Linked DNA regions of Diceros bicornis minor. The protein of the gene in region 2 binds, or shares a complex with, the protein of the main gene of each other region. Links are inferred from orthologs where the notes say so. Each region holds a gene or a part of one and is shown on either strand. Other genes may lie near its edges.

The links.
Region 1: the proteins of ITGA2B (region 2) and ITGB3 are in contact, whole or in part, in a cryo-EM structure (PDB 8GCE), measured with the Homo sapiens proteins. The link is inferred for Diceros bicornis minor from reciprocal best matches to the Homo sapiens genes ITGA2B and ITGB3. Residues at the interface, in NP_000410.2 of Homo sapiens: Gln49, Phe52, Arg72, Trp141, His143, Asn145, Glu152, Ala153, Glu154, Lys155, Pro157, Arg184, Phe191, Tyr197, Glu199, Phe202, Pro217, Tyr221, Phe222, Phe262, Asp263, Tyr265, Tyr268, Thr290, Trp293, Thr294, Gln315, Met316, Ala317, Tyr319; in NP_000203.2 of Homo sapiens: Ser188, Pro189, Tyr190, Tyr192, Ile193, Ser194, Pro195, Pro196, Tyr204, Asp205, Met206, Arg242, Asp243, Pro245, Lys279, His281, Ile282, Ala283, Leu284, Asp285, Arg287, Leu288, Ala289, Gly290, Val292, Gln293, Pro294, Asn295, Asp314, Tyr315.

What each region holds. Positions count from the first base shown.
Region 1 is NC_080757.1:44,909,652-44,920,218, reverse strand, and holds the start of ITGB3 (integrin beta-3), read right to left. Parts: upstream 4,188-10,567; 5' UTR 4,184-4,187; coding exon 4,117-4,183; intron 1-4,116. UniProt on the Homo sapiens protein: Integrin alpha-V/beta-3 (ITGAV:ITGB3) is a receptor for cytotactin, fibronectin, laminin, matrix metalloproteinase-2, osteopontin, osteomodulin, prothrombin, thrombospondin, vitronectin and von Willebrand factor.
Region 2 is NC_080757.1:42,951,841-42,963,209, reverse strand, and holds the start of ITGA2B (integrin alpha-IIb), read left to right. Parts: upstream 1-6,147; 5' UTR 6,148-6,171; coding exon 6,172-6,359; intron 6,360-8,241; coding exon 8,242-8,363; intron 8,364-8,452; coding exon 8,453-8,550; intron 8,551-8,656; coding exon 8,657-8,822; intron 8,823-9,099; coding exon 9,100-9,143; intron 9,144-9,219; coding exon 9,220-9,265; intron 9,266-9,344; coding exon 9,345-9,473; intron 9,474-9,851; coding exon 9,852-9,899; intron 9,900-10,055; coding exon 10,056-10,099; intron 10,100-10,258; coding exon 10,259-10,312; intron 10,313-10,451; coding exon 10,452-10,504; intron 10,505-10,701; coding exon 10,702-10,913; intron 10,914-11,369. UniProt on the Homo sapiens protein: Integrin alpha-IIb/beta-3 is a receptor for fibronectin, fibrinogen, plasminogen, prothrombin, thrombospondin and vitronectin. It recognizes the sequence R-G-D in a wide array of ligands.

The DNA.
Region 1 (10,567 bases), about 2.0 Mb from region 2:
ATTGTGAAGGTTACTTGACTATCTGCATTTGTCAAAATTCAAAGAACTGTACACCTAAAAAGCATGAATTTTATTGTACATAAATTATACCTCATCAAACCTAACTTTAAAAAAAAAAAACGTGTTCCTGGAGATACTGTGTACATGGAGAGAAAGGCAGATTTTATAAATTTTTTACTGGTGAGTTTCACATTTAAATAAACACCAGCAATTTACACAGGGAGAACAGACAATGTCATTTCACTGCTCCTACCTGCATTTCCACTAGTGACCTGAGCTCCATCAGGCACAATGATCTGCCCACTCAGGAAGGGCCGGGGTTCGGAAGAAGGGAAAAGATAATGAAGTGAAGTAGCAGGCCAGCTCTGTGGGCAGCAGAGGGGGCTGGGTCAAGCCAAGTGGTTTATCCCTGAAGCTGCTCAGTCACTCCCCTAGTTAATTATCTGTCTGCTGATTCATGAGTTGTGGTTCCTGTGGGCATGCTTCCTGGCTATTCCTGCCAACAAGGGCAGAAGGATTTCTAGGGCTGGGAGGGGATGATAACCAGAGATCCCCAAGTGGGGTGGGGAGTTGCAGAGGAGGAATTTCTACTAGGAAACTCCAGAGTCATATCCAGACTCCCCCTCCTCACTGCTGCCTCCTTGTCCCATCTTATGCTGCCCCCAGAAGACCTCTTGCCACTCACACTCACAATTTTGAGGTGGGCAGAGAAGAATGCTGTCCTCCTGTGTGTCTCCTCCCAGGAGGGGAAAAAAAGGTAGACAATTCACAGAGGGTCCCCTGAGTTTCCAGCACCCTCAGATCAGAGGTCTAAATGGCACAATAGCACAGAGATCCAAATGCCCAAAGAACCCACGGTCTCAGCTACATTCTAATATCCTCCAGAATGCCCAGAGGGAGCATTTGAGGATCTTCTGTGAATGAATGCTGATATTGAAATGTTGTATTTCTTAAACTGAGGCACATCACCTCTAGATGTCTTTCTATAGCATTCCATAGATATTTATTTTGGCCGCCTATGTGCCAGGACTGGGCATAGAGTGTTGAACAAATAGACATGTCCTTCTCCTCATGGAACCTGAAATCTTGTGAATGTCTTTTACTTTTCTCTTTTCCCAAGACAGGACTTCAGGTTTTCTCATGAATAAAGCAAATAGATGAGCCTCTCTCCTCCTTGGCCTCTTCTGTGGGTTCTTGCTGGGTGAGAGTGGCTGAAATATGCCAAGCCACCAATGCGGAAGGGTTGAAATAAAAAGGGGGCTCCTGTCACATAGGTGTGGGAAAAGGGTCCCCATTGGCCTCATTCTGGGAGCCTGGATTGCACTCATGCATGAAGCAGGGCAGCTCTTGCCTCCAATCCAAGGTAGATACCATGGATAGGAAGAAGAATGACAATAGTAGTTGCCATGTATTGATTATTTATTTTGTGCCTTTATCTCATTTAATTGGCATAAGCATAGAAGTATTATTTTCTCTGCTTTACAAATGAGGAAACTGAGGACTCAAGAGATTGAGTAACTTGCCCAGGGTCACACAGCCAATAAGAGGCAAAATCAAGAATTAAGCCCACATGTGACTGGCTTTAAACCATAGCTGTCCCTTCCCCCAGCCAACAAGCCTTCCTCCCACATCTTTCCAGGCCCTGAGGAGTTCCTGCAGAGGAACCTTTGACTGGAGAGTTTCCAGGATGTAAACACCAGAGGAGAAATCAGCACCTCAGCTCAAAACTCATCATAAGTACTTAGATGGTGATAGCAAACAAAACTTATCCATTAGGTCTCAGGTTAGAATAAAGACCTATACATGGGGAAGCCACAAAACCCAATACTTCTTGGATGAAGGTAAAAAGATCATCTTTGTACTCAAATTCCAAAACTCAATTCTACCCTCAAACAACCTCTCTTCTCCCTATACAAGACTCTCCTACTCTGGGACAGCCTCTCTATGCCACTCCTACCCAGCTCTTTCTGTGTCCCTTAAACATTGTGTGTCCCAACACAGCTCTCCTACTCTCATCCTGCCACCTGCTTCCCCAGGGATCTGGTGACACCTGCAACCCAGCCACCAACACTGGGGTGGGGGATTTAAATATAATCAAAACTGCTTTTACTGGGGGCTTATTACTCTGGCAGTCTCATTCTAGAGCCCGAGACTTAAATACTACTCTATCCTGCCTCTCAGAGGGAGCCTGGGGCTAGCTCAGCACAATCAGTCACCACTGCTGGAATCGCCCAATCACAACAAATCTGTGAAGAGACCTCCTAGAGGATATTTAATGTAAACTTAGGTATGTCAATACAATGGAATCCTATATAGATCATTGCAACTATGTAACCCAGATCAACAAAAGATATACTAGGAGTGAAGGGTGGAGGGAGAGACACTCAAATAACAAATACACTCTATCTTCACTAATATTGAACCAAGCACAATGCTAGGCTCTTTCTTATGTTACCTTACTTACTTCTAAAACTGAAAGAAAATATGATTAGACTCAGAAATCATCCAGAAATTCAGAAAGCTGTGGATGTGAAAAGAAAAGAAAGCAAAAAATGTTTTAAGTTCATAGAAGCAGGCATGTCCGTAGGAGACAGCTGAGCAGCCCTTCCGTAGTTCTCCACTGCCCCCATAAACAGCAGCAGCATGTGAACCAAGGCTCTAACATCTCCCAGGGCAGAAGGCTGGAGATTCACACTTCTGTGCCATGGTCATCAAGCTGCTCTCTGCAGGCTACAGACATCAATTGACATGTTTGGGCTTCTCTCACATGGGAAGTTTCAGCAATAATAGCTTAAAGAGCACCCTATATATCATTTGTAACTCCTCCGTCAAGATAGCGTTCATAGATTGTGGTGATGGTTTCACAGGTGTATATTATCTCCAAACTCATCAAGGTGTATACATTAAATATACACAGCTTTTTGTATGTCACTCATACCTCAATAAAGTGGTTTTTTAAAAAAGAGGTTAGCATAGGGCTGATCTTCCTCACACACACACAAAAAAAGATATTGCTGCCCTGTCCTGTATAATCTCTCTCTATATCTATATCTATCTATATCCACATACACACACAGTCTTGAAGGCAGTCATCAAAGTACTTTGATGTACCGATGATCAGTAAATCTCACTTTTTTTAATACATTCTGCAGGATCTAAATTATCTTACAATGAGTACTACTCCTTTCATTAAAAGTACATATATGCACATTTGTGCTTCCTCTGCAGAGGAATGGCCCCAGCCGACCAGGAGCCAGAGTTCTCCCTGGGAAGGTCACCAGGGCTGCGGAAGGACCAGGGGCAGCATCCCTGGGCTGTGCTCTGCTCTGCCCCTCCATCCTCTCCCCAGCACCAATGAGGCCGAATGCCAACCGCCTTGGCAGCTGATGGTGCGTGCAGCAGCAGGAGAGACAAAGCCAGGGATCCGAGCCAGCTCCAGGGACCCTTGGCGTGGCTCCTCGCACACATGGAGATCTTTTGGACGCAGTGTCTGTTCCGGAAGCAGAGGCACCGCTGCCACCCAGGAACACTGTGGGAGGCAGAGCCCTCAGCTTTCTCCGAATCGCTCCCGCTGGGTGCCACCAAGTATTTACACACACAAAAAAAAAAACTTGAGAAAAAGTGTAACACAAGGAGAAAGAGGGATGTCGAATAACTGGCAAAGCCGCGCGCGCGCTACACTCGCAGCCGAGAAGCTACAACCACATCCCTCCGCCAACGCGCGGGAACAGCCTCGGGAAGCCCCAGCTCGCCTTGCCTATTCCGGCCAGTCATTCCTCGCACGGCCGGGACCACTTGCGACGCGCGCAGCCGGGGCCGAACACGGGGCTCAGAAATGCGCCCACCGCACCGCGCACGGCGAGGCCGCCCGGGGCAGGCGCCTAACCCGGCTAATGGCTTCGGCGTCCCGGAGGACCTGCCCGTAGGTAGCCTCTCACCCTGCCACTGCGGGGTCGGGAAGGTCCCCAGCTCCGGGCTCCGACGACCCAGCCTGGCCCCGCGCAGGAGCCGCCCGCCCGGGTTTCCTCACTCCAAGTCTTCAAACTTGGCTGCGGCAGGACGCGCGGCGTGGATCACCGGAGAGCCGCGTCCCCGAGGCGCGGGAGCCTCACTCACCTCCGACGCCGACGCCCGCCAGCGCCCCCAGCACCAGCACAGCGGCCCAGAGCCGCCGCGCTCGCATCTCGTCCGCCCGCCGCCGTGCTCCGCCTCGGCCGCGCCCTCCCGCCCCACAGCGAGCAGCGGCGCCCGCGGCCACTTTTCCCGCAGCGGGAGGGGAGGGGACGCGGTGGGTGGGACGTAACGGGGCGGGCCGCGGACTCGCGCTTCCTCCCCGCTGGCCCTTTTCTGGACCCTGCCCCCGGGAGGGGGCGGTGGGAAACCGCGGCTCCTCTCTCACCGCTTAGCCTCCGGCGGTGAGGATCTGCCTCGTTGCGCATGAGAGGCGAGGCTGGGTCTGGAGGAGGGTCTCGGGCGCATTCTCCCAGGGTTGTGCTGGTCCCAGGGCTCCGCGCCCAGGCACTTGGTATGCTTAGAAAGGCCGGGAGCCTGTGGCCCCTCCTGACCTAGTCCCACCTCTCCGGGGACATCCACAGGGCTTTCTCTTTCGCGTGGATTCCTCAGGCACTTTCCCTCTGTGCCTTGAATTTCATTCATTCATACTTTCATTTGTTTAATTGACAAACCTGTTGAATGCCTACGCTGTGCTGGACACCAGTTTAGTCTCTTATTATTAACTAATTTTTCTCTTGGGTTAGTGTGGTTTTCCGGTAGACTGTAAGCCTTTTGAGGACAAGACTACATCTCAACCTTGTGTAAGCAGTGATGTTCATATAGGGCCTCTCTCTACAAATACTTGCTTGCACATATTAAGTATCTGAAAAAAGTTTCAGGACACAGTCAATATACTGCCTCCAAACTCACTTGATAAAGCTTTAGAGCTTATCGTATTTTCCTCAAAGGCCTCTTGCCTCCTCCCTGCCTCCCCCACAATCCTTCTTCTGGGTCCCTGAGTCTTCCCCAGTCTAGAAACCTCAGGATGCTCAAAGGGCTAAATGCTAGGGCTTTGAGCAGGAGGCCACCAGTGGCTGGGCTGGTGCAGGCTGCTGCAACGGGTAGCTCTAATGATGATAACAAGGCTTGAGGAGTCAGAGAGGATCTGGAGTTCTCACTAGCCCCTGGGCTCCCCTAAGGGCTTTCAGGCTGCCCCTGGGCTCCTCTAAGCCCTCTCCTGAGACACACAAGATGCCTGAAAACTGGCCCTGACTGACTCAGCTCAGCAGCCTCATCTCCCACCCTAGACCAGGAAGATACTTAGCATTCCCAAACACTTCATGCCTTTCCAGCTGAGTGATCTTCCTTCCTTTTCCCACCTGGAAAATTCCACTTATCTTTCAAAACATCTCAGATGTCATCACTTCCATGTAATCTTGTCTGATATCTCTCCTCCTCCAGCACCACCCTCTGCAGAGGTGAGCACTCCCTCCTCAGACCTCCCAAACACTAGGACACACCAAAATAGTAGCACACATCCTCAGAAGCGTCACTGGCAATTTGCAAGGGGCAGGGGAGGGGCCAGGGTAGCTGGGCTTCCTGATCTGGGCTTTGAGACTCCAGCACCATAGACCTCCCCTAGCTGGTGGAGGGCCTCTAGGCCAGAAGCCACTTCAACAGCGTTGTCGTTGCCCTGGTACAAAATCCAGGTCACACAGCCTGGTTGCATCTCTGCCTAGATAGATATTTACTTATTTGCTCAATTCTCATATATATAACCAACCTCCCAGTCACCTCAGTGTCTCCTCAGCCTAGCTCTGCTGGCACCAACCATTTGGGGTGGCCACTGGCCCAGCAAACATGCTGTCTGAGTCCCCAGTCTCTTCAACCCGAAGAACTTCCTTTAGCAAATATTGTGATGAAGGTCCACTGGCAACAAATATGCTCTCCTTTCATCTGTTTCACCCTCATTTTTAATGATATTTCTTAGATATGGATTCCTAGGTTGACAGGTGATTTTTTTTCTTGCAGTACTTTAAACATATTGTTCCATGGTTTCTGATAAATCAGCTATCGTTTACATTCTTGTCCTGTCTTTTCCCTCTGGCTTTTTTTTTTTTTTTTAATTTTTAATTTTGGAATCATTTACACTTACAGAAAAGTTGCAAAATGCTAGAGAAAGTTCCCTTTTATCCTTCACCCGGTTTCCCCTAATGTTAACATCTTGTATTACCATAACGTAATTATTGAACACAGGAAATTAACATTGATACAATGCTATTAACTAATCTAGATACAACATTTGAATTTTGCCAATCTTCCCACCAATGGGAAAATGTCTTTTTTCCAGTCTAGAATCCAATCCAGGATCCCATATTGTATTGTCATCATGTCTCCTTAGTCTCCTTCAATCTATGACATTTTCTCAGTCTTTCATCACCTTGACACTTTTGAAGAGTCTAGGCCAGTTATTTCGTAGTATGCCCCTAAGTTCGGGTTTGTCTGATGTTTTCTCATGATTGTATTGGGGCATTCTGGATGAGAATACTGCAAAAATGATGTGCCTTGTCAGTACATCATATCAGGGGGACAGGATGACAATATATCTTACTACTTATAAGGTTGACTTTGATCACATCGTTAAGGTGGTGTCTGCCAGTTTTCTTCACTATAAAAGTTACTATTTTTATTTTTGTAGTTGATAAATATTTTATGGGAAGATACTTTAATTCTTTGCAAATATCCTGTTTCTCTTCATACTTTTACCCACTAATCTTAGCATCCATCAATGGTTCTTGACTGCAATCAATTACTGTGGCGTTTGATTGATAGTAATTTTCTATTTCCTTTTTTCCTTCTACAGCTATTAATTGATATTCCAAATAAGAAATAGCTGCCCCTTCTCTCCCGTTTTTAAAATTCAATTATTTATATCAGTATGAATTCACGGATATTTATTTTATTCTGAGTTATAAGTCAATGCTATCATTATTTATTTTGTTGTTCAAATTGTCCCAGGTTTGTCTCTGGCTACTTTTAAGTTTTCTCTTTGTCTTTGGTTTTTCAGCAGCTTCTCTGTAAGGTGAATAAGCATTGTTTTCTTTGTATTTATCCTACTTGGGGTTGATGAGACTTTTAAATATATAAGCGGTTTATTTTTAACCAAATATAGGAACTTTTAGGGCAGGCCCCGTGGCTTAGCGGTTAAGTACACGTGCTCCGCTGCTGGTGGCCCGGGTTCAGATCCCGGGCGCGCACCGATGCACCACTTCTCCAGCCATGCTGAGGCCGCGTCCCACATACAGCACCTAGAAGGATGTGCAGCTATGACATACAACTATCTACTGGGGCTTCGGGGAGAAAAAGGGAAAAAAAGGAGGAGGATTGGCAATAGATGTTAGCTCAGAGCTGGTCTTCCTCAGCAAAAAGAGGAGGATTGGCATGGATGTTGCTGATCTTCCTTGGAAAAAAAAATATATATATATATATTGGAACTTTTTAGCTGTTATTTCAGTTATTTCATCAAATTTTTTCCTGCCTATTTTCTCTCTCCTTACCTTCTGAAACTCCAATTACAAATATTTTAGATATTATCTAAAAATTTATAATTATAAATTATATATATATATAAATTATACTTAAAATACATAAGTGATATATTTATAAATTATAAATTACATATAAGTAAGTGCATATATATATGCACGCCATCTTAGGCTCTGCACTGCAATTCAGAAAGTCCCCCCAGAAAGCCCAAGCTGGGCAGATGTAGGGTTCACCTATCACGTGTTTCCCTTCCCTCAAGGATTATAATTCTGCTTTGCCTATGTTCAATGTCTAAAGCAGTTCCTCAAATATTTTGCCTGAATTTATTGTTGTTTACTATGGGAGAGCCAGTCCTGTACCAGTCACTTTGTCATAGTCAGAAGCAGAAGTTCTGTGACTATTTACCTCCATCTCTTCCACCATTACTGGACAGTGAGATCCCTGAGTGCAGGACTGTAGTTGACTATCTTCATATTTCCTAGTATGCACTTAGTAAGTAAAAAAATCTTTTCCTATTTTTTGACTTCTTAGCAGCCCTCGATAGTTAATTTTAATAAAATATTAGCTGAGCAAAGACGTTGGGGGACCTGAGTGTCCATTCTGTGATTTGGCCAAGTGCCGTACTACCCAGTCAATATCACCACGGAGCGGTATCCAATGCAGACAGGTAGAAGAGTTTCCCCAAGATCCATTTAAGAGGCAAGAGTCACATTATCTGGCCCCTTGCCCGACTGTGGCCAGGCTAACACCAATATAGGGATCTTTTTCTTGTGCTCTCATCAACAGTCTGCCCCCTTGGGGAAGCCCCACTCCTATTAAGTTCCTCACTGTCACCACTGTAAGTTGGAGAAAACAGGTTTGTGGCCATTTCTGGACGTCTTGCCTTTAAGGTCATGCTGAATTCCCCATTGTACTGAGTCAGAAGGTCTCCGGAGTCAGGTCCTTGCCCCACCTCTTACTAGTTAGATGATCTTGAAATAGTCTCCAAATCTTCTCTATACTCATTTTCCTTATTTGTAAGAAATAACTATCTGTTCCCTGCCCTTTTCCCCATCCCCAATCCCATTCTACCCCCTCCCAAAATACACACATTGTTATGAGGTTCTATGAGGCCATGGATATGAAAGCCCTTTGGAATCTGAAAAGCACAGAAGAATATGTTCTTATTATTGTTATTATTTGTGGAGAGATTGTAGACCTCTCAACACAAATGCTTTCCTCTAGTTAAGGAGATTAAGTGTGGAGTAGCACACTGGTTCAGAATCTTCTCCTCCTACACATTTGGCAGGATGACCCAGCTGTTCCTTTGGCTTGAAGAAAAATGGGCTTTTCAGAGTCCACACTGACTAAAAATGACATAGCTTGGAATTTCTGGGCTCTGGGAGCTATCTGAGAAAGTACCCCTAATTTGTTTTTCTTTTCTTTTTTTTTTTTTTGCTGAGGAAGATTCACCCTGATCTAACATCTGTTGCCATTCTTCCTCTGTTTTGTGTGTCACAGCACGGGTGACAAGTGGTGTGAGTCTGTGCCCGGGATCCAAACCCATGAACCCAGGCTGCTGAAGCAGAGCATGTCAAACTTAACCACTATGCCACGGGGCCTGCCCCAGTACCCCCAGATTTTTATCAAGGTAGTACTGGAGGGATGAGCTCAGCCTTGGCATTAAACATTCATTCACAAGCACATATCAGTCACCTGCTGTGTGCCAAGTGCTTCTCAGGACACTGAGGATGCAGTAGTGAAGAACACCAGGCCCTTCCCTCTCAGAGCTCGAGCCCAGTTGGATCTGAGACAATCAACTTCTGTCTTGGAGTGCTACTCCTCCCTCATCCTCACGAGAGCCAGACCTTCTTCTGCGGAGAAGAAAAAATGAGAGCCCAAGGTCTTTCCATGCCAGCTCAGCATACAGGGTACCACGTGGCCAAGCCTGGATTCAAGCTCTTTGCCCACAAAGGGCATCACATGACTGTTCACACTCCATCTCAGACTAATCCAGACCCCTTCCCCATCCAACCCCCAAGCCAGGGTGATGCCTCATTCTGATAACAGATCTGCTACTTGGCTTCTGGCTCTGAATTCCTGTTCTCCTATCTTTCTAAATCCCTAGTCACCTTCCTTGGACCCCTGCTCCAGTGAATCCAAACATGCAGCTGGGCTCCAGAGGCATATTTTAGACCTCTCAGGCCCTCGTTACTCAGCTTCCTAAGAGAAAGAGTATTGTAAGGATTGCCTGCACAATAGGCAGGTGGCCAGGATTTGAATTCTGGCTCCACCATTTGCTAGCTCAGTGACCTAGTGGGCAAGTTGCTTAACTTCACTAAGCCTCAGTTTCCTGATCTGTAAAATGAGGGTTAAATGGAAAAAATTAGTTCAGCCTTTTTGCACAGTACCTGGCATGTAGTAAGTGTTCAATAAATGTGAGCTATATTTTTCCCCGTAGTATCAATTCATCTATGCTGGATTCCCAGTCTATCCCCAAATTCTGCCTACAAGTCAAGATACCCACTGCTTCATTGTAGCTGCCTATCACTAGCTCCCTGGACAATGTTGGCCAAATTCAGGCAGGAGGATGTTGTAGCCTATGGGCAGGGTCCTTGCTGGTCAAACTGGCCATCCTCTGACAGCTCCTGGGTCAGGTCCCCTGCCCCTGTCCCAATCTGTGGCTGATCCTTGGCATAATTAGTGACACTGGGGCAAGTTCCAGCTTGTCCCAAGTTCATGGACCCCTCTTCTTGCCAAGACCTAAAGTATCAGGTCCCTTACCCCTTCTGAACCCAAGGACAGGATTTCTTCACCTGAAGTCTCTGGAGGAGTTTCAAGGGATCCATGAACCCCTTCTAATATGCAGAAGTTTGTGTGATATATGTTTTTCTATGGAAATGGGCCTTATATTTCACCAGCTTCTCAAATAGGTCTGTGATCTCAAATGTTAAGAACCAAGGGATGTTCTTACATGTTAAGAATTCAGGGAAATCCTAGAGTCTAGAACCCCGTAAGGCTGGTAGGCCTTCTTTTGGGCCACTGAGGA
Region 2 (11,369 bases):
GAATAGAAGCTATGCGGAACATAGAGTCACCCATATGCTTCCCCAGAGAGGAGCTCATGTGTCTGAAGGGTGTATTTTCTTCTGTCATGTTGATGTTTCCTTCTTAATTTATAGGATTTTTTTTTAATGTAAAAAATTGCACTGAACTCTACAAACGTAAATGCTGCTTTTTGTAGCTCATATAAAAAAGGTCCCATATTTGTAGTATACTGCAATAATATTTTTTACATCCAGCTCTTTAAGTGATCCTTGTTCTGGTGGCTTTGTGTAAATATGTTTGCCCTAGTTGAATTAAGAAACTTTAAAAGTTATAAAATGAAAACAAAAATAAAGTATTTGTTTTCTGCTAGATGCAAAAATGACTAAGCATGTATATTTTATCAAGCTCATGTATTTTTTGAAGTTATGAACTATAAAAATGATAAAAGGAACATTGTTTAACATTTTTTGCTGGGACAAAATGGTTGGTAATTTACAGTAAGTGGCGTCCCCAGCAGTGGGATTTTTTAACTAATGGGCAGCAGTCTGCTGAGGGCATCAGAGGGATACTCAGTTATGACAGTCTCCCTCATGCTTGGCTGTTTTATACAGAGAAACAGATGGGCCCCACAGAGGAGGAGGGAAAGATTCAAGAGCTTTATTCTCTGGAAGCAGTGAGGTTTATAGTGATTGTCTGGGGGATTCCTGGGTTTCCTGGGTGCCTTGTTCCCGGCGATCCATTTGCCTTCCTAGTACTTAGGCCCCCTCTGACAATTTTTTTTTTAATATGCCTTTTGGGTTGGCTAGAAATTGAAGGAGAAATAGACCTGGGGGATGATAGTGTTGGGACAGTTTTCTTCCTCCTCTTGTTGGGAGGTGAGCACATTTATAGATCCTGCAAATTTTTTTTGCTTCATAGTTTCCATGCCTTCTGGCCCGTTATAGTTTACACAGTAAAGATTCCTTTTTTCATTTCTCTCATGACACCTACCAGAGGAAGTACCACCTCAATTCCTCTTGCTCCTCTTGCCTTTCACCCAGGCTCAGACCTAATTAACACACTGACCCAAAGGTCTTGATATTGCAGGTCTCATCTGTGGTGTAGTTAGCAGTTCCCTGTTCAGCATTTCCCTACCTATTCCTGTGGCTAGAATTGGTTAGGTGGTCACCTGACAGGAAAAACAAACCCTGCTTACCTGGGCCAAGGCTCTGTGTCTGCCTTTCTTCTCAAATTCCCAAAAGAAAAGGTTTTGAGTTTATGAGAAGCAAGTGCTGGGCAAACAGGGCTCTTGACTGAGCGTCCTACCTGTTCAGTGCTCCTCGTCTGGTTCAGAAGCATCACATTTTTGATAACTAGCACTGGAAAAATGAAATCGTCTGTTTGAAGTGAAGGAACTCATTTTTCTTTGCCTTCAGCCCATGTAAATATTTAAATGATACAGTATTAACACTTTTGTGCTGCTTCCCATTAGCTTGTAGATTGAGCCATACTCTGGCTGCCTCTGCCTTCCTGGGGGCAGTTTTCTTTAACTTCCAGGATAGTGATTTTAAAACTTAAAAAAAAGGAACAACAAAATAAACCTATCCTTACTTACAAGCATAACAGATTGTATTTATCACATATGATAGAGATATATATGCTGTAAAATTAGGGAAAGGAACTTTCTAATAAACCAATGATTTGTGGAAACTTAGCAGAGTCTGTCGTGATTGTTGCCCCATCCACAGAAGTGGGGAAGGAGTGGAGTTACGGGTTACAAATAACATCATCTTTGAAGTGATCAAGGAATAGATTCTTATGAACCAGTTGTTTATATTTGGAATTGTGCTTCTCAAAGCTCAGGCTGCCCAAGTAGAGGGGAAAGATTATGGCTGTGGGAGGAAGTAATAGTAGTTAAGTTTCTCTCAGTCATAGGTAGATGTCTTGGAGGAATGTGCACCTCCTCTCCACTCTCCCATAAGGATTTTCTTCTGTATCTACCTTTTTCCTCATTTTAGAAGATATTCTGTATATAGTAGAATGTATGGTATGTAGGTGCTTACTAAATGGGTTTGGAATTTCTGGCTTTGATTTTTTAGGATTTTGGATGAACTTCAGGGCAATGGGATTATAAGAGTCATCCGCCTGGCCTTTTGCCTTCCAGATGGAGTTCTGTACCAGAACCAGTCTTGCATTCTCCTCAACCCTTTAATACCGCTACAGTGCTTGAGAGCTACCTGGTAAAAGGAAATAAGCCCTAATGGTTACTGAGCAGATAAAAGCTATCTTCTGTATCACAAAATCACAAAAGGCAGAAAGTTTAGCATCAAAAGCTAACCATAGATTTGTAGTGATAAATTAATTTCTCTTCCTTGGCCTTTCAGGAAGGAATAGTAGATGTCTATTTCTTTCCTACTCTCTCATACAGCTGTTCTCCCTTTGACTAAAGAGAAACTATTCAACTTGAACCTTGGGTTGGATGCTCAGATCTGCCTATTTTCCTAAAATAGGAAAATCCCTGCCCAGAAAGAAAGGATGTCAGGAAATGAAGAGTGATTTCCTGCGCAGGCAGGGTGTCAGTGACCTGGCAGGCAGACTGGCCTGTAGAGAGTATGCTATGTGAAGGTATGTGCAGCGGCCTGATTCCACTAAGGGTTCTGCCTGTTTCAGCCACTCGAGCTTGACACGTGGAAGTACTCCCTCTTCTACACCCTCAATAACTAATTCAGGCCTTGTTAACCATTGCCATTCTTATTTGGCAGAGATACCTTCACTTCTCCCTTATCAACTCATGTCTGAATTATTGCAGAATTTTCCTGGCTGGCCTCCCTGACTCTAGAATCTAATTCCCTGTCCCATGTAAACTCACTGGCTTTTCAAAATCTGAGTGCAGTTCATTTTGTATTCACTGCTTCCCAGTAAAATTATAAGCTCTGAGAGGACAGGGACTGATTCTTATACTTGCTTTTTTCTTAACCCCTTAGAGTGTTCTACATAGTGCTGAACACATAGTAAACATTTTCATTATATGTTCAAGAAAGATGAGCAAAGTAAAATACCATTAGCTGAGGATTATGCATCAGGATTTAGCAAGGAAACATCAAAGATGATAGACGATTTTTTCTATATATCCTCTACATTACCTAGCTCAGTGCCAGGCACATAGAAATTCAATAATTGCTGACTTATTGAAGCCTTAACAGAACTTTGAGTTCGTTGAGGGATTCTAGGACTCAGGCCGATAGGATGGGAAAGTGGGAGCAATGTGTCAGCACTCCTCTGCCTGCTATCTCAGAAGGGAGGTCAACCCAGCTCTGACCCTGAAGGGACACACATGAGGAACAGAATCCTTATTGAATACCAAACCCCTCTCGCTTCCCAAATCTGATCCTCCACCTGTTTCCAATTTTGGTTAATGGTACCACAGTCCTACCAGCCAGCCATGCAACAAAGTTTTGAATTACTATTGACACCTCACTACCACATCCAGTTACTGCCTGTGAATCTCTGCTCTCTTTTGTTCCTGCTGTCAGTACCATGGTTCAGGCCTCATCACCTTTAGCCAAGAGAACTACAGTTGCTATCCATCTTCCCACTAAGTCTTGCCTCTTCCAGTTCCTTCCATCCACAGGCAGCCAGTGTAATCATCCAAATTGGAGCACAATTGATCAATGTATCTCTTATTCCCTGACAAAAATCTTTATGATTCTCCCATCTCCTACAGATTAAAGTTCAAATTGCTTAATATGACATTCAGGGACCTCCAATGATTTGACCCCAGTCTTCCATTCTACCCTCATGCCCCAGTGCACCCCTTTAAACACCCTATGCTGAGTCAACTACTTGCCCTTCTGTATAATTGGCCTCTATGTTCTTCTGCCACTCTCTTTGCTTGTTATTTCCTGTGCCTAAAAACCACTTCATTCTCTGACAAAAAGCAACATAGTGTAATGGTTAAGAATGTGAATTCAAGCACAAATGTGCTTGAATCCTAAGTTTTGCCACCCATTGGCTGTGTAAACTTGGGCAATTGACCTAAAATTCTCTGTGCCACAGTTTTTGTGTTTATAAAATAAGCATAATAGCACCAATTTCATTGGGTTGTAATAAGGAGCAAATGATATAAATGATTTCAGCTAGGTGTAATTGCCCTTTTCAAGGTATGCTTTCCTATCCCTCTGCCACAGTTCTGTGTGTGCATGTCTTAACTCCCTCTGGACTAAGTTCTCTAAGGATCTTTGACAACTATCTTTGTATCCCTTTTCACTCAGGGCCTTGAACAGAATAAATACGTATTAAAAACTTTAGTGAAATGTGAGTTAACATTGGGCTACACAGTATATACCAGTAATACAATACCACTCAGTTGAGGACAGGACACTAGCAGGGTGAAAGGTTGAGTTAAGTATTCATTCCAACAAATGTCTTACATGCCTACCATGAGCTTGGCACTAGGAATTCAGCAGTGAAGAAGGCCCAGACTGAAATTCAAGGAGCTTGTAACCTAGTAAGAGATAGGATTTTGAGCTGTGCGCTGAGGTGGTGAATTATGAGAGAAAGGAAGGAGCTGAAGGGATTCCAGAATGGCACAGGGCAGCTGGGCAGGATAAGACGATGGTTAAACATGATCAGAAAATATAGATCAGGGGCCGGCCCTGTGGCGCAAGTGGTTAAGTCCGCACACTCCGCTGCAGCGACCCGGGGTTCGCAGGTTGGGATCCCGGGTGCACACAGACACACTGCTTGTCAAGCCATGCTGTGGCAGCGTCCCATATAAAGTAGAGGAAGATGGTCACGGATGTTAGCCCAGGGTCAAAATTCCTCAGCAAAAAGAGGAGGATTGGCATCGGATGTTAGCTCAGGGCTGATCTTCCTCACAAAAAAATAAAAAAATAAATGAAAAAAATTAAAAATTAAAAAAATATATAGATCAAAAGGAGGATGTGGCTATATTCCTTTACCTCTAGCAGATCTCTTGAATTTCCTTCCTGAGCACCTGCTTTTTTGGGAAGACATGCAGCACTGTTGAGATTTGTCACTCCTCTTCCTCTCATCCATAGAAAATGACCTTGCCTTTCTGCTCACAACTACTCCTCTTTCCACTATGTGACTCCTTGTTTGCATCTTCCATCCTCAGTGCATGTTTCCATTCGGTCTGTCTCTCAGCAATACCTACTATATGTTGGGCTCTTGGCTAGACCTTGGGGCTGCAGAAAAGAACCGTGCTTTCAAGGCACTCATGGACACAATCCAGTGAACAGACCATGACTAAACCGTGTGATTGGTGTTGTGCCCATGTGTGTTAACCCCAGGGTGCCAGCCTGAGCAGTCGAGAGAGGCTTCCCCTAGGCAATGACTCCACTAGAATTGTCTTGATGGTTAGACAAGAGCTCTGTCACCCAAGAAAAAGTGAGGGCCTGCCTTGAGAAACTGAACAGCTGGTGCATAATCTCAGAGCCTGTAAGCCAGAATACCCTGGAATAACTCCACTTTATCTCCATCTCCTTTCCTCTCGGGCCAAGATCCATTCACCACCCCTTTCCCAGCACTGGCTGCACTGCTGTGGCCACATTAAGACTTGTCCCAACATGGAAGACTGAGGAAGCTGTTGCACCAATATGGCTGACTGAAGCTGCCCTAGGCCCTAGAAGGAGGAAGTGGATAAGTACCTTATCCAAAAGGATACAGCAGCCTCGGGTCTTATCAGGGGGCAGCAGCTTCCTTACTCCTTCCCCCACCTCTGACCAAGTCAAAACGTGCCACAGCAGTGCAGGCAGCTGGGAGGGGCTGGAGCAGGACGAGCTGTAGAACTGTGGGCTAGAGCGGAGCTGTATGCACCAGTTAGTTCATGGTTGCACTATCCCAAGCAGAAAGCAATGGTGCCTTTAGACTAGCACGGTAGTAGCAGAAATGGGGTGAAGATTCAAGAGATGCAGTTGAGAGGCAGAACCAACAGGACTTGGTGATAAAGTTCTCTCAGGAAAAGGGAGGAGTCATGGCTTTCAGCCATAAGCATCCACCCCCAGTATGGCCTCACTCCCTTCCTGGCAATCCTAGAAACCAAATGGGTCCAGGGCCGGTAGCCCTTATGCTCTGCCTGCTGCTCAGCAAGTGGGTTCCAGTTTGATAAGAGAAGACTTCCTGTGGTGAAAACTGAAAGGAAGAGGAAGGAGCTAGCCCATTCCTGCCTAGGAGGTTGTGGGAGAAGGAAGATGGCCAGAGCTTTGTGTCCACTTCATGTCCTCTGGCTTCTGGAGTGGATGCAGCTGCTCTTGGGACCCGGTACAGCCCCTCCAGCCTGGGCCTTGAACCTGGACCCACTGCAGGTCACCTTCTACACAGGCCCCAATGGCAGCCACTTTGGGTTTTCACTGGACTTCTACAAGGACAGCCGTGGGAGGTGAGCCTTGGGGGAGGTTTGGGTGTGGGGAGAGAGAAGGACTCCCACACCATCACTGCTTCTGTGGGCCTTGAGTTCCCCACTTATGATAGAAGTTGAGCAAAATGACTTCTAGGGTCTATGAGTTCTTGTTAGGAATACTGAGGAGGGACCGCCTCAGGTGAGGGTGTCAGGGAGGGTCACCAGTGGAGACATGGGCACTGAAACTACAACAAGAACAAGGGAAGACAAAAGTTGATGCCTTATTTTTTTTCCCCAAGTGTCAGTTGTATGTATCAATTCTCATCCCCTTGAAATACAGAAAGGAGCACATGTTTTAAATTGACTTGCAAAACTATAAAATTGTCTACCCACCGCAACCTTGCTTCTCTACTCCACTCCCTCATCCCCATCAAAATTATAGGTATTTGAAAAGCAGCAATAGACCATTAGTGGTTGGGATTGATCAGGCTGCAAAATCGGACTGACAAGATTAGAGTCCTGGCCCCTCCTCTTTATAGTAACTACCCTGAGCTATTAATTATTGTGGTGGACATTGTGATGCCCAGCTTCAGGGAGTGGCAATGGCAGATAGACTTCAAGTATCAGCCCCTAGGGGAATTTCCTCTGCTGAAGAGACCCAGCTACCCCAAAGTCAAGTCCCCTTCCTAATGTGGCCTACAATCAATGACTGATCAATGAGAAGTGTGGAGGCAGAAGAGGGCTGTAAGGGTCTGACCCTCTCACCTTAACTTGGGGCAGTTCTGAAGGGTCCTTCTAGCTCCAGAGCTCTCAGGGTGTGGGCCTATGATTGTCATTGGGCCTGAATCTCAACTCAACTCCTTCCTCTGCCGACTCCTGCTTCTTTCCCCACCTTTCCACAGATATTGGTTCATGGACACTACTTAATTACATCCTGCACGCTAAAAAAAAAATATATATATAGCATTTTTTTGAGCACTTGTTATTGTGTTATTTGGCTGGCACCATGCTGACCGTCCGTCATACATTTATTTCATTTACTTGTGATGGCATTGATTGGTTGCTACGGTCCCCATTTTATATATAGCAGAGCTGTGATTTGAACCTAGATCTACTAGAGTCCTCAGCAATATCAGCATCCCACCCACCACTTTAGAGGTGCCCACTGGCTTCCCTAATTCTTTACCATTAAAACTAGCTCTCAAGGCGCCAGCCGGTGGCTTAGCGGTTAAGTGCGCACGCTCCGCTACTGGCAGCCGGTGTTCGGATCCCAGGCACACACTGACGCACCGCTTCTCCGGCCATGCTGAGGCCGCGTTCCACATACAGCAACTAGAAGGATGTGCAACTATGACATACAACTATCTACTGGGGCTTTGGGGAAAAAAAGGCGGAGGACTGCAATAGATGTTAGCTCAGAGCCAGTCTTCCTCAGCAAAAAGAGGAGGATTGGCATGGATGTTAGCTCAGGGCTGATCTTCCTCACAAAAAAACCCAAAAAACAAAAAAAACAACTAGCTCTCAGGAAGGAATCTGGTAACAGTCTAACAGTCTCCAGAAAGAAGTTAGTAAACTGCTGGCTTTTGGTGGAGGGTGGGGAGTGTAGATGGTGTATGGCTTAGGAGGTCTTTTTCAGCAAGGATAACAAACCTCTGGTGTTCAAATCAAACCAAATGGTTATAGTCCCACCTTGACCCTTGATTCGCTGGGTTACTTTGGGAATGTGATTTCCTCTCACTGGGAGTCAGTTTCATTGGCCATAAAATGAAAAAGCTGGCCTAGATGGTCTGTGAAGTCTCACTGAGGAAAGATGATCCAATGCTCCCCAAGGCACACTGCCCTTCCGGTAGTGCTCCCAGCGCAGGCACCGGGCATGGGGTATCCAAAATCCACGCGGCGCTCATCCAGCTTTCTTACGCAGCGTGTCCATCGTGGTGGGCGCCCCGCGGACCCTGGGCCGCAGCCAAGAGGAGACGGGCGGCGTTTTCCTGTGCCCCTGGAAGGCCAAGGGCGGCCAGTGCACCTCGCTGCCCTTCGACCTCAGTGAGTCTCGCGCAAGGAGGGAAAGCGAGGGGCTAGAGGGAGGGTGGACAGCCGAGCTTCAGCGCCCCACCCTTTCTTGTGCCTTCCAGATGATGAGACCCGAAAAGTAAGCTTCCAAACTTTTCAAACCTTCAAGGCTCGGCAAGGACTGGGGGCGTCGGTCGTCAGCTGGAGCGACTACGTTGTGGTGGGCGCCGCGGGACCGGGCACAGGCAGCAGACGGGGCAGGGACACGTGGAGTGGGGGAAACCCGAGACTCGCCCCTTCCTCACTCTCCTGTGGCCCTGCCCCAGGCCTGCGCCCCCTGGCAGCACTGGAACGCCCTAGAAAAGACCGAGGAGGCTGAGAAGACGCCGGTAGGTGGCTGCTTCGTGGCTCAGCTCGAGAATGGCCGCCGTGCGGAGTACTCGCCCTGTCGAGCCAACACCATGAGCAGCCGTTACAGTAGAGGATACATGGGTGAGCGTCGCTCTCTGTTGTGGCTCCGCCCACTCGCGGCCACTTAGCCCCGCCCTTAATCTGATCTTCCCAGCGCCCCAAGGTCCTGCTTTCCATCCGGTGTCGCCCAATGGCCCAGCTCCTGGCCACGCCCCACCCCGCCCCGCGCCCATTCAAGTCCTCGCCTCTATGTTACCGCGGCCCCCACCCCTAGACGGCTCCGCCCCCGCCCCAGGCTCCAGGGCACGCTTCTTGATCCGCCCCTTCGCTGACCCCTCCTCCCTGCCTCGTCCCGCAGACAGGCGCTACTGCGAAGCCGGCTTCAGCTCGGTGGTCACTCAGGCGAGTAGAGAGCATACGCGGCGTGGGGGCGGCTGCCAAATAAGGACCCCTCTCACCTCCAGGACTTCCCTTTCAGGCTGGGGAGCTGGTGCTTGGGGCTCCTGGCGGCTATTTTTTCTTAGGTACGTGCCCATCCGTACACCTTCCCTTCTCTCTGCCTGGGGTCTCCAGGCCCCCACACCGCTGTCCCTCGCTCCCTAGGTCTCCTGGCGCGGGTTCCAATTGCCGATATCGTCTCGAGTTACCGCCCGGGCACCCTCTTGTGGCACGTGCCCAACCAGAGCTTCACACTCGACTTCGGCGGACAAGAGTACTTTGACGGCTACCGAGGTAGCCCGGGCACCTCCCTTCTAGTCTTCCCAGCACTCTGTCACCGCCCTCCCCCGCTAGTCAGGTCCTGCCCCTGCGGGAGCGCCCCCATGCCAACCCCTGCTGGCTAGCCCCAGCGCCTCTCCCTCTGCTCCCACAGCTTCCCCCACTTACCGCCCAAGTGCCCTACGCCACACCTCGCCCTTCACCTCGCCCTTCCCGCTCTGGATTCGCTGCGCGGCCTAGGGCAGGTCTTGGCCTGTCGGGGGCCTCAGTTTTCCTTTCTACAATGTGGAGTTTAGACTGGATGGTCTCGGAGTCTCCTCTTTCTTCGTTGCCTTCCTCAACCCCCTCCCTGCTTCGCCCTCCCGGAAAGACTAATTCTCGCTCTGTCTTCAGGGTACTCGGTGGCCGTGGGCGAGTTCGATGGAAATCTCAGCACTACAGGCAAGGAATGCACTTAGTCAAGGGCCAGGGTTGGGGAGCCCAGCCTGGGGAGGGGCACCTCCAAGCCCCGCACCGAAATCAACCCTGGGTGCGGAATGGCGGGCGGAAGGCGGGTAGGTTCAAAGGACCTCATTCACTGGGCCCGGCTCTCCCCAGAGTATGTCTTCGGTGCCCCCACCTGGAGCTGGACCCTGGGAGCGGTGAGTGCCCCCTGCCCTGCCACTTGGCATCCCAAAGTCCCTGGCTCCACTCCTCAGGCTAACACCACCCCCCACCCCAAACTTCCTGCCCTTTCTCACCTGGAGCGGGAGGCTGTCGTGGGGGCACGTATGACACGCGCCTGTGCGTTGTCCCCACAGGTGGAAATTTTGGACTCGTCCTTCCGGATGCTGCACCGGCTACATGGAGAGCAGGTGGGGGCCGGGTCCCTGTGGGAGTGGCCAAGGCTGGGGATTGGGACCCTAGAACATTCCACGAAGTGTGGGGGGCAATGTCTAAGAGAGGGTGCCATGTCCTGGGGTGGGAATTATGGTGCGCCTCGTCTTCCTGCAGATGGCTTCCTATTTTGGGCACTCGGTGGCAGTCACTGACGTCAACGGGGACGGGTGAGGAGGGGGCGCCCCAGCCCTACCCAGTTGGGTCCCCAATTACCAGAGGTTGACTGCCCTGGGTTTGCTGTCCTAGCCCTCACTCCCACGTGACCACCAAGGGGAATGAGAGAGTGAGGATGGGCAGTTAAGATTTGGCCCTGGCCCACAGCATCCCCTAACCCACCCCACTTAACCGCCTGTCTGGCCTGCAGGAGGCACGACCTGCTGGTGGGCGCACCACTGTACATGGAAAGGCGTGCCGACCGCAAGCTGGCCGAGGTGGGGCGTGTTTACTTGTTCCTGCAGCCTCGAGGCCCCCAAGTGCTGGGTGCCCCTAGCCTCCTGCTAACCGGCACACAGATCTACGGGCGATTTGGCTTTGCCATTGCGCCTCTGGGCGACCTCAACCGGGATGGCTACAACGGTAAGGGAAGACAGGAGCCTCACTTGCCGCAAAGGGGTTATCAGCCACAGTAAAGACTGTGGATTTGACCTGAGGGCAGCAGGAGCAGCCAGCAAGGGCTTTAAGCAGGAGAGAGTTAAGGGAGACCAATTAGGATTTGTTTGCGTTAGTGCAGACAAGAGATGGTGACCACCTGGATGTGGATTTTGGCAGTGGAGTTAGAGATGGTGGTGGTTTCACAGATATTTGGTACGTTAGGACTTGATGAGTGACTGGATGTGGGGCTAAGGGAGAGATAGGAGTTGGGTATGTGGCTATGCCTTTCACGCTTGGAATTCAGGTCATGCAGCAGATCTGGGAAAGTGAGATGGGGGGAAGATCAGCAGTCCAGCTCTGGACTTGTTTGAGCTTGAAGGACTTGGGAGCATTAGGCAGAAATGTACAGAGAACAGTTGGGTGTGGCTTCCCCCACTTCCA